3 linked regions of the Macaca fascicularis genome follow. The protein of the gene in region 1 interacts with the protein of each later gene in a pairwise test. Links are inferred from orthologs where the notes say so. Each region holds a gene or a part of one and is shown in the gene's direction. Other genes may lie near its edges.

The links.
Region 2: the proteins of LMO2 (region 1) and HNRNPM interact in binary tests that used the Homo sapiens proteins (3 or more experiments, as listed by UniProt). The link is inferred for Macaca fascicularis from reciprocal best matches to the Homo sapiens genes LMO2 and HNRNPM.
Region 3: the proteins of LMO2 (region 1) and ZNF24 interact in binary tests that used the Homo sapiens proteins (3 or more experiments, as listed by UniProt). The two-hybrid records come from large-scale screens. The link is inferred for Macaca fascicularis from reciprocal best matches to the Homo sapiens genes LMO2 and ZNF24.

Annotation. Positions count from the first base shown.
Region 1 is NC_088388.1:31,708,598-31,714,464, forward strand, and holds the start of LMO2 (rhombotin-2), read left to right. Parts: upstream 1-2,182; 5' UTR 2,183-2,334; coding exon 2,335-2,341; intron 2,342-2,464; coding exon 2,465-2,690; intron 2,691-5,867. UniProt on the Homo sapiens protein: Acts with TAL1/SCL to regulate red blood cell development. Also acts with LDB1 to maintain erythroid precursors in an immature state.
Region 2 is NC_088393.1:9,176,244-9,180,584, forward strand, and holds part of HNRNPM (heterogeneous nuclear ribonucleoprotein M), read left to right. Parts: intron 1-2,280; coding exon 2,281-3,083; intron 3,084-3,702; coding exon 3,703-3,754; intron 3,755-4,341. UniProt on the Homo sapiens protein: Pre-mRNA binding protein in vivo, binds avidly to poly(G) and poly(U) RNA homopolymers in vitro. Involved in splicing.
Region 3 is NC_088392.1:54,504,383-54,509,481, forward strand, and holds part of ZNF24 (zinc finger protein 24), read left to right. Parts: exon of another isoform or gene 1-901; 5' UTR 902-984; coding exon 985-1,404; exon of another isoform or gene 1,405-1,657; coding exon 1,658-1,805; exon of another isoform or gene 1,806-1,829; intron 1,830-3,082; coding exon of another isoform or gene 3,083-3,111; exon of another isoform or gene 3,112-3,136; intron 3,137-3,866; coding exon 3,867-4,405; 3' UTR 4,406-5,099. UniProt on the Homo sapiens protein: Transcription factor required for myelination of differentiated oligodendrocytes. Required for the conversion of oligodendrocytes from the premyelinating to the myelinating state.

The DNA of each region.
Region 1 (5,867 bases):
CACACAGGTGGTCAAGGGTGGGCTAGAATCCAGGTAGCCTGACTCCAGAGCTACTACCACATACTGCCTCCTCAGATTAAATAATTTTCCTAGGCCGTGCTAGCTGATACGTTTTAAGAGTCTAAATCAAACCCAGGCAGTTGGGTTCCAAAATTCCAGCATTTAACCACCACATTGACTGGTTAAAGTAGGTAAACTGTTCATCACAACCTGTATGTTTATTTTCATTTCTGTTAGAAATGAAAGTAGTGTGGTAGGTTACATATTTATCACATAGTTTCGGCTTGCCTAAAATTCTAAGAATTTTATTTTTTAGATTAAAAACAAGGGTCTATTGGGAAAAAAAAAAGGTTTTTTTTTTTTTTTTTTTTTTGAGACAGGGTCTCACTCTGTTCCCCAGACTGGAGGGCAGTGGTGCGATCATGGCTCACTGCAGCCTCAACGTCCTGGGCTCAAGCAATCCTCCCACCTCTGCCTCCTGAGTAGCTAGGATTTCAGGGAAGCACCACCACACCCAGCTAATTATTTTTCTTTTTTCTTTTTTGTAGGAATGGGGGCTCACTGTGTTGCTCAGGCTAGCCTGGGCCTCCCAGAGTGCTGGGATTACAGGCATGAGCCACCAAGCACAGCCGTAAAAAAGTCTTTTTGTATACTGAAGGCTCCACTTGGACAAAAATTTGCTCTTAAGGCTTTCTTTGAGATACACACACACACACACACACACACACACACACACACACACACACACACACACACACAGCTTTTGATTATACCCATGAGGGACCCAAGCCTTGGGACACAGGGACCAGAAAATGACGAAAGCATGTAGGCAGTAGTAAACTATGGTTATACTTGTAACAAGTCATGAAGCTTTGGCTCTGAACAGGGAAAATGAAGCACTCAGGGATTCACTTCTGACTTCAACTACCATCTTTCAGGGTGAGCTCATCCAGGCCCATGTGCCATCTTGAAAATGGGAACAAAAATGTATGCCTATGATCCAGACTGATCATATAAAACTATGGATCCTGAAAGTACGTTCCCTCTTTGCAAGCCTTAGTGACTGGCATCACGCACAAATAGGCCTTTCAGTTTCTGAACGCAGATATTTTCAAGGACCTCTGAGGCCCAGGAGAGACAAACGTTTTCTCCATGGAAGGGCAGACTATTGGCCTCCCCTCTCTTACCCTCTGTGTTCCTACCTCTTTCTAGAAGGAGGCTGAGAGGGGAAGCCTGAAACCCCAAATCAAGTCCGCCTTCTTTCTCTGTGCCTGACCCAGGGCAAAATAATCTCCCTAATACTGTTCTGGATCACTGGAAAAAACACTTTCTCTGGTCGGGGTACTACTGGCACTTTACATGGGGGGCAGTTTAACCGCAGGAGTCCGCTCTCTGAAAGGTGCTGAGGGAGGGGATTCCGACACCAGCCTACTGAGAGGAGCCCTGGCCCCACGAAGTCCCTCCCAGCCACCCTCCCTCTGGGATTAGCTGCCCTGACTCTGCTCAGGCGTCCCCAGCCCGTGCAGTCCCGGCTCGCGCACCCCCATCGCCTCTGCAGAGCGCGGCCGCAGCCTGGAGCCCGCAGCCGGTAGCCCGCAGAGCCGCGCTGTCCGGGGCATCCCGGTGCTCGGCGTCCGTGGACCTGGGATCTCGAACCTGGGACGGGCTCAAAATCCACTCGGAACACTTGCATTTCTGTAGGTGCTTATTTCACATTCTTGTTTTTTCTTGCTTGCTCGAGCTGTTCGTGGGTTACTTTCTGCCTTAGTTAAACCAAAAGGGAAAGGCTGAAGGGGGGAAGCCCTGAAGAATTATTTAGTGGCTGCCCAGCCTCCTCTCCAAGGAGAGGTGTTAGCTGAGCGGATCTCCCCGTCCCCGACACTGGCCCCTTTAAGAAGCCAAGTCAGTCCTGATGCTGCTGTTTGTATTGCTAATCCCCAGGAGCCCCGTTAAAAAAAAAAAAAAAAAAAAAAGAAGAAGAAGAAGAAAAAAGGGGAGGTGGGGGAACCGGGCAGCTGTCTCTTTAAATGTGATTTCCTTCTATTGTATTTGAATCGTGATCAGGAAAAAGGAAATGAAACCAGAGACAGAGGGAAGCTGAGCGAAAATAGACCTTCCCGAGAGAGGAGGAAGCCCGGGGAGAGACGCACAGTCCCCTCCCCGCCCCCAGGCCGCCGCCCCCGTTCTGCCCTCCGCGGCGAGCAGCGCCCGCTACCCGGGCCGAAGGTGCGAGGGGCTCGGGGCGGCCGGGCGGGCGTGCACCATCCCCGCGGGCGGCGCGGAGCCGGCGACAGCGCGCGAGAGGGACCGGGCGGCGGAGGCGGCGGGACCGGGATGGAAGGTTAAGTCCTGAGCAGCAGCAGCAGCTGCAGCCGCCCAGGGCCAGGCTGCGCGCCCCGGCCCCCGCCTCGGCCGCGGCGCGCCCGCAGCCCGGTGATTCGCTCTCTCTCTTTGGCATTTGAAGGGAGCGCGGTGACTGTCCTTGAGCGCGGAGGGGCGAGCTCGCCGCCGGAGCGCCGGAGCAAGCGGAGGCGCAGGAGCGGCGGCGGCGGCGCCCGAGCACCCGAGGGGGTCCGAGCCCCGGCAGCCGGCCAGCCCCGCGCCACAAAGGGAGCGCCCCTGCCGCCCGGCACGCCGCCTCCCTCCCCAATGTCCTCGGCCATCGAAAGGAAGAGCCTGGACCCTTCAGAGTAAGTGCGGCGCCCCTGCCCCTGCCACCCCCGGTGTCCACGGCCTCGCGTCCCGGAGCGGCTGGGGGACCCGGGCGGCCCTCGAGGGGACTCCAGGTGCGCGCCTGCGGCGTGCTCTTGGCCCCCTGTGCGGAGCGCTGGGCTCCCTCTTCCTCCCGGGTGACTTCGGGGGCGCTGGGAGAGGGACTGGGCGGTGGGCGGCAGGGAGAGGGGTCGGCTCGGCGCCTCTGCGGGCCACTCCAGGCTATCAGGACGCTGCCTAAAGCCACCGCGGGCCAGAAAGTTTGCACGGGAGCAGGCACAAGGGGAGCCTGGCGGCGTGCAGGTGCAGTCCGGAGAGCGTTCCATGCTTGACTCGGCTCCCTTCTCACCTCTCCTTCTCGGCCCTTTCTCTTTGTCCATTTGGTCTTGGAAAGGGGAACATTCCAAGTGGAGGCCTCCAGGGTCCCCAGCGGCCGCCTCCCCGGTCCGCAGGTGGAGCCGCTGCCAGCCGCGCGGGTAACGGGCGGGTGAGGGGTCCGACGGTCCACCTCGGAGCTGGCTCTGGGCCTCCGGGGATTTCTAGAGCAGCGAAATCCGGAGTAAATCTGAGTACGTGTAGCCCTCCTCGGGGTCCACCGATGGGGGCCTGTGAACCTCGAAAGTTAATGCACCATTTTGTGTACAGGTGAATTCTTCTAGGGAGTAGAGTCTCGTAGTTTTTAGCATAGTCTCAAAAGCGTTTGGGGTCAGGGAACCAGAGCTCTAATGAGCATTGACCGCATCTGTTTTCTGAGCCTCGTACTGGTTTGGAATGTTTTTCTATCTCTCACCAATTCTTTAGTGTTAACATGGGTAGCAAGGGGTGTTTAAGATATCATTTTCCTGTCAACGCAAATGCCCTTTTAAGAGTCATTAGCTGTCTGGTTTTGAGAATTTTTATTCCTTTGAAGTCCCCCTCTAATCCTTTGAAGGGATTTGTTACACAAGACCAAAGGAGCTGGTTAATGACTTGTCCATTTGTGCTTTTAAGAGACATTTGTTTTGTTTTTTCTTTTCCTGGTTTAAAAGAATTGTGCTTTCCTGCTTGAAATACCGCACACACACACACATACACCCTTCAATTTCGGCTTTCTATGGTGTTTATTTACCTGGGTTTTACCCTCAGTTAGCAGCATAAAAGCTCAGCATGTTCTCATAAAACACAGGAAGTACCACCATCCAATGAGAATATAAACATCACTATTCCGTCTTGAAGGTTAAGACACCAGTTCTGTAATGAGCTAGGTTTGTTGTAGCAAAAACCCCCACTTCCTTCAACAAATTCTCAGGAGAAAAATAACATTTCTTTTTAAAAGTATGTTTATGTCAACAATGGGTTTAAAGGGTGGTTTGATCACTTTTTTAAAAATAAACTTAAAATTACAACTGAGCTTTGAGTTTCAGAGACTGGGCAAGATCATAGTAACACAATAAGGGAGTGAATTGGATGAATTGGTGCCTCATGCCTTTTTGATCAGCAGAATTTAGTCACTAATCCTTTCAATAGAAGGTAAATCTGAAGGTTTCATTTCCCTGAAGGAAGTTTGCGTCTTTCAAAGTTTGTGCTTTTTCACTGAGGTTAGAAAACTGAAACATCCTAACTTCCTAACACAGCAGGTATCTACTGCTGGAGGCTCACCAGCTCCTTCCTTCACTTCACTATTTGCCCAGCGAAGATAGTTTCTGATCAAAGAGGGACAAGCTAGTTGAGAAATTGCAGCAGCACATTCTCCACCCCCTTAGAAATTGTTATGATTATCCCAGAAATCCAGGCTGAAGTGATACTCAGGTGTAATATTCAAGATAAGGGTCTGGGAGAATATAAAATATTAATTTGAGGGTGAATCAACCTCATTCATTGTCTTGGATTGCCCACTAAGTATAATGTGATATTATCAATTAATTATAGAAAGACAGAGCCAATATCTTATACTTTACTTCTCCATCTCATCTCAGGCCATCACCATAACTCTTTTACTTTACGTTCCTCCTGTTGTCCAGTATCCTACTAGATGCTTCATTGTGTACTTCCTCAAAGCCGACTTGGGTCATTACAATCAGCATCTCCAAATTACAGATGGAGACTTGCCTAGCTATATGCAAATGAAACATTTGGACAGAAAGCCAGCCAGAATTCATGAACACAGAGATTCCCTTGCTATGCCACTGGTGGCCCCCACTGCCTCCCCTGTGAGTAACAAGAGCAGTTCATTTGAATTCCAGGCAGTTTTGCACCAGCTAAGGGCAAATTATCCTCTTTCACAGTCCTTTGGCAGCATCTGCATCGGGACATCCAATGTCTGTCGAGGTCCCATGAGTGGTTTTGAAAGCCCAGAGTAAGACCATGGGCTGTGGAAAGAGAAGAGATGCAATTCCGAGTTGATACACATAAAAACGCTAGGGTATTACTTATTAGAAGGGAAAATGGCAGTCCTTATATACAATCTGTAGAAACAAAGGAAAGAAAGCAAGGCTTCAGTGAATGAAACCCTGTCTCTACTAAAAATACAAAAAATTAGCTGGGCCTGGTGGCGGATGCCTGTAATCCCAGCTACTTGGGAGGCTGAGGCAGGAGAATGGCGCGAACCCAGGAGGTGGAGCTTGCAGTGAGCCGAGATCGTGCCACTGCACTCCAGCCTGGGCTACAAATTTGTAGCAAGACTCTGTCTCAAAAAAAAAAAAAAAAAAAAGAAACTATAGTTTTGATTTTTTTGAGCTAGGGTCTCACTGTGTTGTCTAGGCTAGAGTGCAGTGCTCACTGCAGCCTCAACTTCCTGTACTGAGGTGATCCTCCCACCTCAGCCTCCTGGGTAGCTGGGACTACAGGCTCATGCCACCAAGCCTGGGCAATTTTTTATATTTTTTGTAGAGACAGGATTTTGCCATGTTGCCCGGGCTGGCCTCAAACTCCTGGGCTCAAGTGATCCTCCTGCCTTGGCCTCCCAAAGTGCTGGGATTACAAACGTGAGCCACTGTGCCTGGCCATTTTTTTTTTTTCCCAGATAAACTAACTTGAACTTCACATTTTCTTGTTCCAAAGATGATAATCTCATGAAGTGCTATTACACTGTATCTAGAAAGTGTGGGCATGGCTTTAACACTCCTAAATATTCACAAGAAAGGCTTCATTCTTCACATGACAGAATCCTCTGAAGT
Region 2 (4,341 bases), on another chromosome or scaffold:
AGTCACCGAACCTCTCTGTTTCTCGTAGCACTCATTTGTAAAATGGGGGATTCCTCGGGGATGCCGTGGAGAGCGAATGCATGTGAGAGTGCTTCCACATGTGCTGTGTACAGGCCGGCCATCCTCACTGTTAGAGTACCTCTCATTTGGGGGTTTTGTTTTCCACATTATAAATTCCTGAAAGTAAGTATTTTTTCCTTAGACTTGATAAGACTGAAAGTACACCACCCAACATATAATGTACTCAACAGGAAATAGATACAGGTACTCAATAGGAAAATATGAAGAAAGTATGGTCTGAAGCCCCATCGCCCAGTGATGACTGCTGGAAACATTTTGTTCTGAATCTTTCTTTCATACACAGTTTTATGAATACTGAGAACAAAATGTACTTTTTGAGTATTTTTGGAGACAGAGTTTCGCTCTGTCGCCCAGGCTGGAGTGCTGTGGCGCAATCTCGGCTCACTGCAGCCTTGACTTCCCAGGCCTAAGCAATTCTCCCACTTTAGCCTCCCAAGTAGCTGGGACTACAGGCGCATGCCACTTGGCTTGGCTGATTTTTTGATTTTTTGTAGAGATGGCATTTTGACATGTTATCCAGGCTTATCTCAAACTCCTGGCCTCAGTTGAACTGCACACCTCCAGAGTGCTGGGATGACAGATGTGAGCCGCCACACCCGGCCCGAATGTACTTTTTCAGCCTGATTTTCCCTCTGAGTGTCTTGGCATCTCACCTCCTGACATCTGTGTTGGGCTGGCTCTGGAGCTCCACACCGGCACCATTTCTTCCCAGTCTTTTGCTTCTGTTGGCATTGGGAGTTGCCCTGCCTCATTTCTTTCTTTTTTTTTTTTTTGGAGACGGAGTCTCACCCTGTCGCCCAGGCTAGAGTGCAGTGGCACGATCTCAGCTCACTCTAACCTCCGTCTCCCGGGTTCAAGTGATTCTCCTGCCTCAGCCTTCTGACTAGCTGGGACTAAGGCGCTCGCCACCATGCCCAGCTAATTTTTGCAGTTTTAGTAGAGATTGGGTTTCACCATGTTGGCCAGGCTGGTCTCGAACTCCTCACCTTGTTCCGCCCGCCTCAGCCTCCCAAAGTGCTGGGATTACAGGCATGAGCCACCACATCCAGCCGCCCCACCTCATTTCTGATGCCTTTGGGCAAAGTGCCCATTCTCGCTAGGTTCCTTATACTGTGGGGAAGTTCTGAGACGTCTCCCCTCTGAAAGTCACACATTCTTAAAGTTGGGCCTGCTTTTTGTCTCTCAGTGTGCTGCTCTGCAGCTAAGGAAGCAAGTACGGAGCAACAGAGAGACTTGTCTGTGGTCAGTTGTAGAGCCAATTAGAGAAACTGCTGAGTTTCCTCTTGAATTGGAATTTTTGACTAGGCTGCTTGGGTCAGTCACAGGCTGGCTCTGGGCTGATGGCCACTCTCAGAGGCAAACGACAGGGTTTCGGGGAGGAGCCCCAAGCTCGGCATGTGGAAAGGGGTGGCCTTGCTGATGGAGCCAGACCCTTGCTTTCCAGAGTTGCAAGCACTACGGGTGGGGGGTCCCTTTGTTCTGCTGGCTGACCCCCAGCTGCCACCAGAGCCCAGTCTGCAGTTCCATCAACATCTTCTTTCCAAAGCCAGCAGATCATTTGGTTTCTGTAATAATAAGGTCCCCAGAAGTGGCCAGTTGTGTGCATTTGTACACAGAGGATCTCTCGGTGTGTGTTTTTTGACCTCTGCTTGATGGTGTGGCCGAAAATCCTTCTCTGTTCCCTGGAAGCGCTGAGGAAACGCAGCCAGAGTGGCCCCCAGCAGAGCATCCGAGAGGGACAGGGTGGGAGGGGAAGGTGGGAGTAACTTGGACTTGTCTCCACGTAACTCCTGTTCATTACCCTGGGTGGCCTTCTGAGTGGGGGGTGTCCTTGCCTCCCCCTGGAGCATTTCTCAGTGTCTGCTGATGGAGAAACCTCAGAGGTCTCAGGAATTGACATCCATGGTTCACAAAGCTTGTCACAGACACTAGCACCTCACAGACACACATACAGGGGTGTTCTTTAGAAGTTGTGTTATGGAAATCTCAGCTGTGGCATAGAGCAGAGAGAATGCTGGGAGGCCCTCATGAGTCCATCACCCAGCTGTAGCTGTTGTCAACATTTGAGGGGTGTCTTAACGGTAAATTATGGTGGGCCTTTACCCCGATCCATGCCCATGAGCTGAAGTGGTCTGGCGTGTTGTACACACGCATACTTAAGTTCTTGACACCAACCTGTGTTTTGTGTCCCTGTTTCAGGTGGAGGTGGAGGAAGCGTCCCTGGGATCGAGAGGATGGGTCCTGGCATTGACCGCCTCGGGGGTGCCGGCATGGAGCGCATGGGCGCAGGCCTGGGCCACGGCATGGATCGCGTGGGCTCCGAGATCGAGCGCATGGGCCTGGTCATGGACCGCATGGGCTCCGTGGAGCGCATGGGCTCCGGCATTGAGCGCATGGGCCCGCTGGGCCTTGACCACATGGCGTCTAGCATCGAGCGCATGGGCCAGACGATGGAGCGCATAGGCTCAGGCGTGGAGCGCATGGGTGCCGGCATGGGCTTCGGCCTTGAGCGCATGGCCGCTCCCATCGACCGTGTGGGCCAGACCATTGAGCGCATGGGCTCTGGCGTGGAGCGCATGGGCCCTGCCATTGAGCGCATGGGCCTGAGCATGGAGCGCATGGTGCCCGCAGGTATGGGGGCTGGCCTGGAGCGCATGGGCCCCGTGATGGATCGCATGGCCACCGGCCTGGAGCGCATGGGCGCCAACAACCTGGAGCGGATGGGCCTGGAGCGCATGGGCGCCAACAGCCTCGAGCGCATGGGCCTGGAGCGCATGGGTGCCAACAGCCTCGAGCGCATGGGCCCCGCCATGGGCCCGGCCCTGGGCGCTGGCATTGAGCGCATGGGCCTGGCCATGGGTGGCGGTGGCGGTGCCAGCTTTGACCGTGCCATCGAGATGGAGCGTGGCAACTTTGGAGGAAGTTTCGCAGGCTCCTTTGGTGGAGCTGGAGGCCATGCTCCTGGGGTGGCCAGGAAGGCCTGCCAGATATTTGTGAGAAATGTAAGTGGCTCTTGGGGAACTTCTTGGTGGTGGTGAGCATGAGGGGACAGGGGAGACAAAGATCAGCAGGATGAAGTCAGAGGTGGCGCCCTCCAAAGAGGACCACATCTCCTTGCTCCTGTCCCAAACGTTTTATGCTAGTGGGACAAGTAAGGAATGTGAGAACTGTGGGTTCTGGAAGAGCCTGGGCTTCTCCACTGCGCTAGAATATGGAGCAGACTCTGAGCTCAGAGACTGCAGTTTCTGATTGCTTGGCTTGAAGAGGCACTGTGTCTTGCACAGTGATCCAGGGAAAGAAGTGGCTGTAACGGAATTATTTTCCCCAGCTCAGCCACTCTTAGCCACTATTTAGTGACTGTGGGCTGCGCACCACAGGCCCAAGCGTCCCATCCTGCACAGTGCTCCCACAGTCTGAGCCCCAGGGAGGGAGCTGGCTGTGCCACTTCACAGCCTTGTCCCACGTGGACCTATTAGTTCCCTGCTGATCGCCTCAGTCTGAAGAGCAGCCAGCTTCTTGGTATAGTAAGAAATCTAGTGTAGCCCTCAGAGTCAGCTGCAAGGCGTGCCTTAGGATTTGGTTTAATCACACATCAGTCTCCCTTTTTTCCTTCCTCCTTAGCTCCCATTCGATTTCACATGGAAGATGCTGAAGGACAAATTCAACGAGTGTGGTAAGTGTTGGGAACGGCTTTCTAGGTGCCTCCCTCATGCTTACTGGTGATGCAGCCAAGTCAGCAGCAAAGCCTCCCTCCCAGCCCCCTCCATCAGCTCAGGACCCATGGCCTTGCCATTGTTCTGCCCACGCCAGTGCTCAGGCAGGTTGTTGAGTGTCCTGTGATGTGTCGCACGTTTTTCACCTGTGTTCTCATTTCATCCTAATTTCCTTTTTTCTTCCTTTTTGAGGCTTTTGAAACAAGGTAGTAGTGTCCCCATTTCACAGATGACTCAGTCTTCTCAGGTCACCTGGCTTCTAGGTGGCAACGCTAAATAAAAACATCCCAGACGAGGGAGGTAGCTTTCCCCTTAGCACAGCTGGTTCAGGGCCTCGGAGAGAACACCTAGCCCAGCAGGTGCCATGGGGAGGCGCTGCAGGCTCTGGGCACACAGCAGCTCCTGTGAGGATGAGGCTAAGGTCTCCTGGTTTCCTGGCACATCCTGCTACTCTTCTGGAGGGCTCCTTCTGTGGCTGAAAGCAAGTTGTCTTCCTTCCCTGCCCTCCAGGGTGAGCCTCCACCCCTCATGCACCACCTCTGTTCTT
Region 3 (5,099 bases), on another chromosome or scaffold:
GTGTCACTAGGTGAATCTTGAATTGTTCAGCTCCATTATAATCTTATGAGAGCACTGTCATCTATGTGGTCCTTCATTGACCGGTCCTTCATTGACCCAAACATCATTTTTTTGTTTGTTTTTTTTTTTTTTTGAGACTGAGTCTCACTCTGTCGCCCAGGCTGGAGTGCTGTGGCCGGATCTCAGCTCACTGCAAGCTCCGCCTCCCGGGTTCCCGCCATTCTCCTGCCTCAGCCTCCCAAGTAGCTGGGACTACAGGGGCCCGCCACCTCGCCCGGCTAGTTTTTTGTATTTTTTAGTAAAGACGGAGTTTCACCGTGTTAGCCAGGATGGCCTCGATCTCCTGACCTTGTGATCCGCCCGTCTCGGCCTCTCAAAGTGCTGGGATTACAGGCTTGAGCCACCGCGCCCGGCCTCCAAACATCATTTTGTAGTGCATGACTGTGTTGGGTTTTTTTTAGGCCATCTAGTCTGTTGAAACTACTCAACTCTGCTATTGTAGCGTGAAGTATGAGTAAGTACAATTTTTTATGGACACATTCATGTTAATTTCGTATCATTTTCACTTGTCATGAGGTATTCATTTGACTTTGGGGAGCTCCATTCCCTAAATATCATTAGGTATTCATTTGATTTTAGAGAGCTCCATTCCCTAAGGCACTGTGGTGAAGACCACAGCCATTTAAAAATGTGAAAATTATTATTGGTGCAAGAGTTGTACAGCAATGGGTGACAGGCTAGATTTGGCCGCGAAGCTGTAGTTTGCCAATTCCTAGTGTAGGTTATTGACTGGAATTTTTAACTCCATCAAAGAACAAGTATCTTTTACTTTTACCAGTGTAAGTCCAAATTCTTAGGATATTTTTGCTTATTTATATATCTTTTATTTCTTGTGCCTCAGGAGTGCCTGTGAAGAAAACGGGGTATTGCCCTGAGGCTTATATTCTGCCTCAGTTGTATTTTCTTGAAATATTATAAATCAGAATGTCTGCACAGTCAGTGGAAGAAGATTCAATACTTATCATCCCAACTCCAGATGAAGAGGAAAAAATTCTGAGAGTGAAGTTGGAGGAGGATCCTGATGGCGAAGAGGGATCAAGTATCCCCTGGAACCATCTCCCAGACCCAGAGATTTTCCGACAGCGATTCAGGCAGTTTGGATACCAGGATTCACCTGGGCCCCGTGAGGCTGTGAGCCAGCTCCGAGAACTTTGCCGTCTGTGGCTCAGGCCAGAGACGCACACAAAAGAGCAAATCTTGGAACTGGTAGTGCTGGAGCAGTTTGTTGCCATCCTACCCAAAGAGCTACAGACTTGGGTTCGAGATCATCATCCAGAGAATGGAGAGGAGGCAGTGACAGTGCTGGAGGATTTGGAGAGTGAACTTGATGACCCTGGACAACCGGTGAGCCTGCTTGTGTCATTTCCTGGGTCAGAAGCACTGGCATAGTAGTAGGCAAAGCTGCTGAATTAATTCCACTCAACTAAATTAGAATTAGGTTTATACCTTTTCCCCCATGCCCCTACCACTCCCTGTTATCTGTGCTTCTTTGCCATCTAGGCTTCTGCAATATTTGTTTTATGGGGTTTCTCTTACATGTTTTTAGTTCTGATTCTCATTACAGTTCCTTCTCTGAATCACATCTTTCTGTTTCCAGGTTTCTCTCCGTCGACGAAAACGGGAAGTACTAGTAGAAGACATGGTATCTCAAGAAGCAGCTCAGGGATTACCAAGTTCTGAGCTTGATGCTGTGGAGAACCAGCTCAAGTGGGCATCCTGGGAGCTCCATTCCCTAAGGCACTGTGGTGAGGACCAGAACTCTGTGTGGACTAGAGGGTGAAAGAGAGCGTAGGCCGTTTGTTCCGAACTTTGCTTGTTCTCACTGGTTGGGGGGATCATATCACTCTTAATCTAAGATCTCAGTTTTTTTCTGATTAAGTTGATTTTGCTGGCCTCAGATCTTTTATTCCTACACATTAACATCTTCAGCCTTTTCTTCCCTTTGAGTTTCCTTCCTAAAAAGAGTTGCCCATGTCAGGCTAGCATTTGCCTTACTTTGAGCCAGCACCCACCCGTGGACCAAGTCCCTCTATTTTACATTCAGTATTACTTGTCATCCATTTTCCATCCTTTTACTTTCAATCTCCTGCCTAATTCCATTGGTACAGTAAGCTTACCTGAAAACCTTTTCTCATCTCTCTGTTGTATATCACTGAAGTCTTTCCAAATATTTATTTCTGATTTTCTTCAGCATCTACCTAGAGTCATTTTCTTCTAAGAAGCTTCTTTTGTAGAAATTATATTCGGAGTGATTTTTTTCCTTTTTCTAAGTATTTACGCAAAAAAGCCTTCTTAGCTATAACATGCTTTAAATGCAGAAAAAGCTTTTCTAAAAGCTCAAAGTTGTATTAATTCACGAGACTGGTCTTTCCCAATATATTGGTCATTAACACCATATACTTATGTGTATCCTTTGATATGGCCCAGTATATTCCTAAAACTGCTAGATTGCTTTCTCATGTTTATGTGAACTAAAATGAAATTTTGTTTGACTCTGCTTTAGTAACCATTCCTTGAGGTAGTTGGAGATGGTGCTTATATGTCACTGAATGAGGTCTGAGCAGGTTTTCTTCACATCTGAGGGGACAGTGCCAGCCAATCAGAAGTTTTGGGGTGGGGCTGAAGTCTGCTGAAAATCTGCAGTTTTACATGTTTCATGGGACATTCTTCTGTGCAGTAAAGTTTGAGAAGCATCATTCTTGATATATGGGGTTGATATTTTCAACTTCTCATCATCTGAATTTTAGAGTGACTTTTCACCTATGTTTAAATAGCCTTATTTCAGCTGTCTAGTCTCTTCCACACTTGGGAATTTCTGTTTCCTGTGTGCCGTTTGTCTCCACTTAATCTTCAAACTCACTCCTCTGTTTTTCAAGTCTCCAAACCTCACTGTCCTCTAACCTTTCAGTCTCTCTCTCTTAGCCTTATCTCCTGACTTTATCTTTTTGTTAATTATTTACTATTTCCCTCTTCACTGAAGGCAGTTGCTAACCCTAGATTAACTGTATCTTTACTCCTTAAGGCATGAAGTTTCAGAAGAGTCTTAAATGACACTTGCCGTTATCTCTGCCTGCATGTGAGTGATGCTACTACCTGTTGGTAATTCAGGCTTTTCTTTCATTGGACACGTTTCACTGGCTTAGAAATAACCATTTTTCTAAGTACCATGACAAATATCACATGGGGCAAGCTTCTTTTATTGGAAAACTTTCATTTATTAGGGGCATACTGAATTTTTATGTCATGTGTTTGGTTAACACAGGATGCCCCCAGCTTATCTTCAGCCCCTTCTTGTCAAGACTCCTGTGTTCTGCTTTTAGCCTAACATTGGCTGTGACCTGACTTGTCTTGTTCATTTCAGAAATAGCCACTTTCTGATAGGTTTTTAAAATTTATGTCTTTGTATTTTGATGTCTCCCTTTCTCAAAGCAAAAGAACATTATAATGATTTCCTAGTGGCCAATTTTATTTTGTTTTTATTCTTACAACGTTTCATCCATACCTAGCCACATAACTTTGACTATCTCCCTAACCATCTTAGAATCTACCTTCTTTCTGCCCTTTGTTTTCTGACTACCGTTTATAAACCACTTGCCTATGTTTTATTCAGAGATCTCTTATATCATGATGTTATACTGTTATTTCAGAGTAATTTCATTTTTTCTTTTTTGAGAACAGGCCTTAACACCGTTTCAGAGTGGTTTATAGATGTGTGCAAGCTATTTAATTCATTAAAAAAATTTTTTTTCGGTTTCTTTTTCCCTTAATAGATAATGAATGATATTTACATTTTCTGTTTTTTTCAGATGATGATGGTAGGACTGAAAATGGAGCACTAGCTCCAAAGCAGGAGCTTCCTTCAGCAGTAGAATCCCATGAAGTTCCTGGTACTCTCAATATGAGTGTTCCTCAGATTTTTAAATATGGAGAAACCTGTTTCCCCAAGGGCAGATTTGAAAGAAAGAGAAATCCCTCTCGAAAGAAACAACATATATGCGATGAATGTGGAAAACACTTCAGTCAGGGCTCAGCCCTTATTCTTCATCAAAGAATTCACAGTGGGGAGAAACCTTATGGATGTGTTGAGTGTGGGAAAGCATTCAGCCGAAGTTCCATTCTTGTGCAACACCAGAGAGTCCACACTGGAGAAAAACCTTACAAATGTCTTGAATGTGGGAAAGCCTTTAGCCAGAATTCGGGGCTTATTAATCATCAGAGAATCCATACTGGGGAGAAACCTTATGAATGCGTTCAGTGTGGGAAATCGTATAGTCAAAGCTCAAATCTTTTTAGACATCAGAGAAGACACAATGCAGAAAAACTTCTGAATGTTGTGAAAGTTTAAGAAATTGAAAAAAAAAATCAGCACTCAGGTCTTTTTCTTCAGAAATGAAGACAAAATTTAAAATATGAAATGATGCAGAATAGTTTTTTCCCTATTGACTGTCAGAAAATCCACTGGGAAATGTAAAAATCTTCACTCACCATTATGATTTTATCTTGAAGAAATGGTGTCGTACCTGCCTAGAAACTGAAATTTTAAACTTAATTCAGGTCTGAATGCCTAAATTTTCCATGTGATGTTTATGTCTCTATTCTCCAAATAATGAACTACCTGATTCATTGTCCCTTTCTTGAAAGTTTCCTTTTTTTTTTTTAAAGACAAATATGTTATTTCTGCATTGATCATTGAAATGTTCTTTATAAGGATACATTCCCTTATATATTAAAAGGCAACAGGAATTACAAAGTCTGAAAACCATTTTAAACGATCTTTTAAAAATTTACGCTTGTTTCCTTTTACCTAATTTGAATATGCATTTGAGAAAATAGAGGATAATGGATGGCTAAGAGCCTCAAAATGAGCCATAAGATCTCAGATAAGAAGTGATGGTGATAAAACATCAAAAGTGAATGGAACACCTTGATTGGGGAAGATATACAAATAATTTGATCTCAGAATTGAAGTGTATCAAGAATTTATATTCTGCCTGCAGGAAAATTCAAAAGCTACTCATCCTCTCTATAATTTGGAGTCA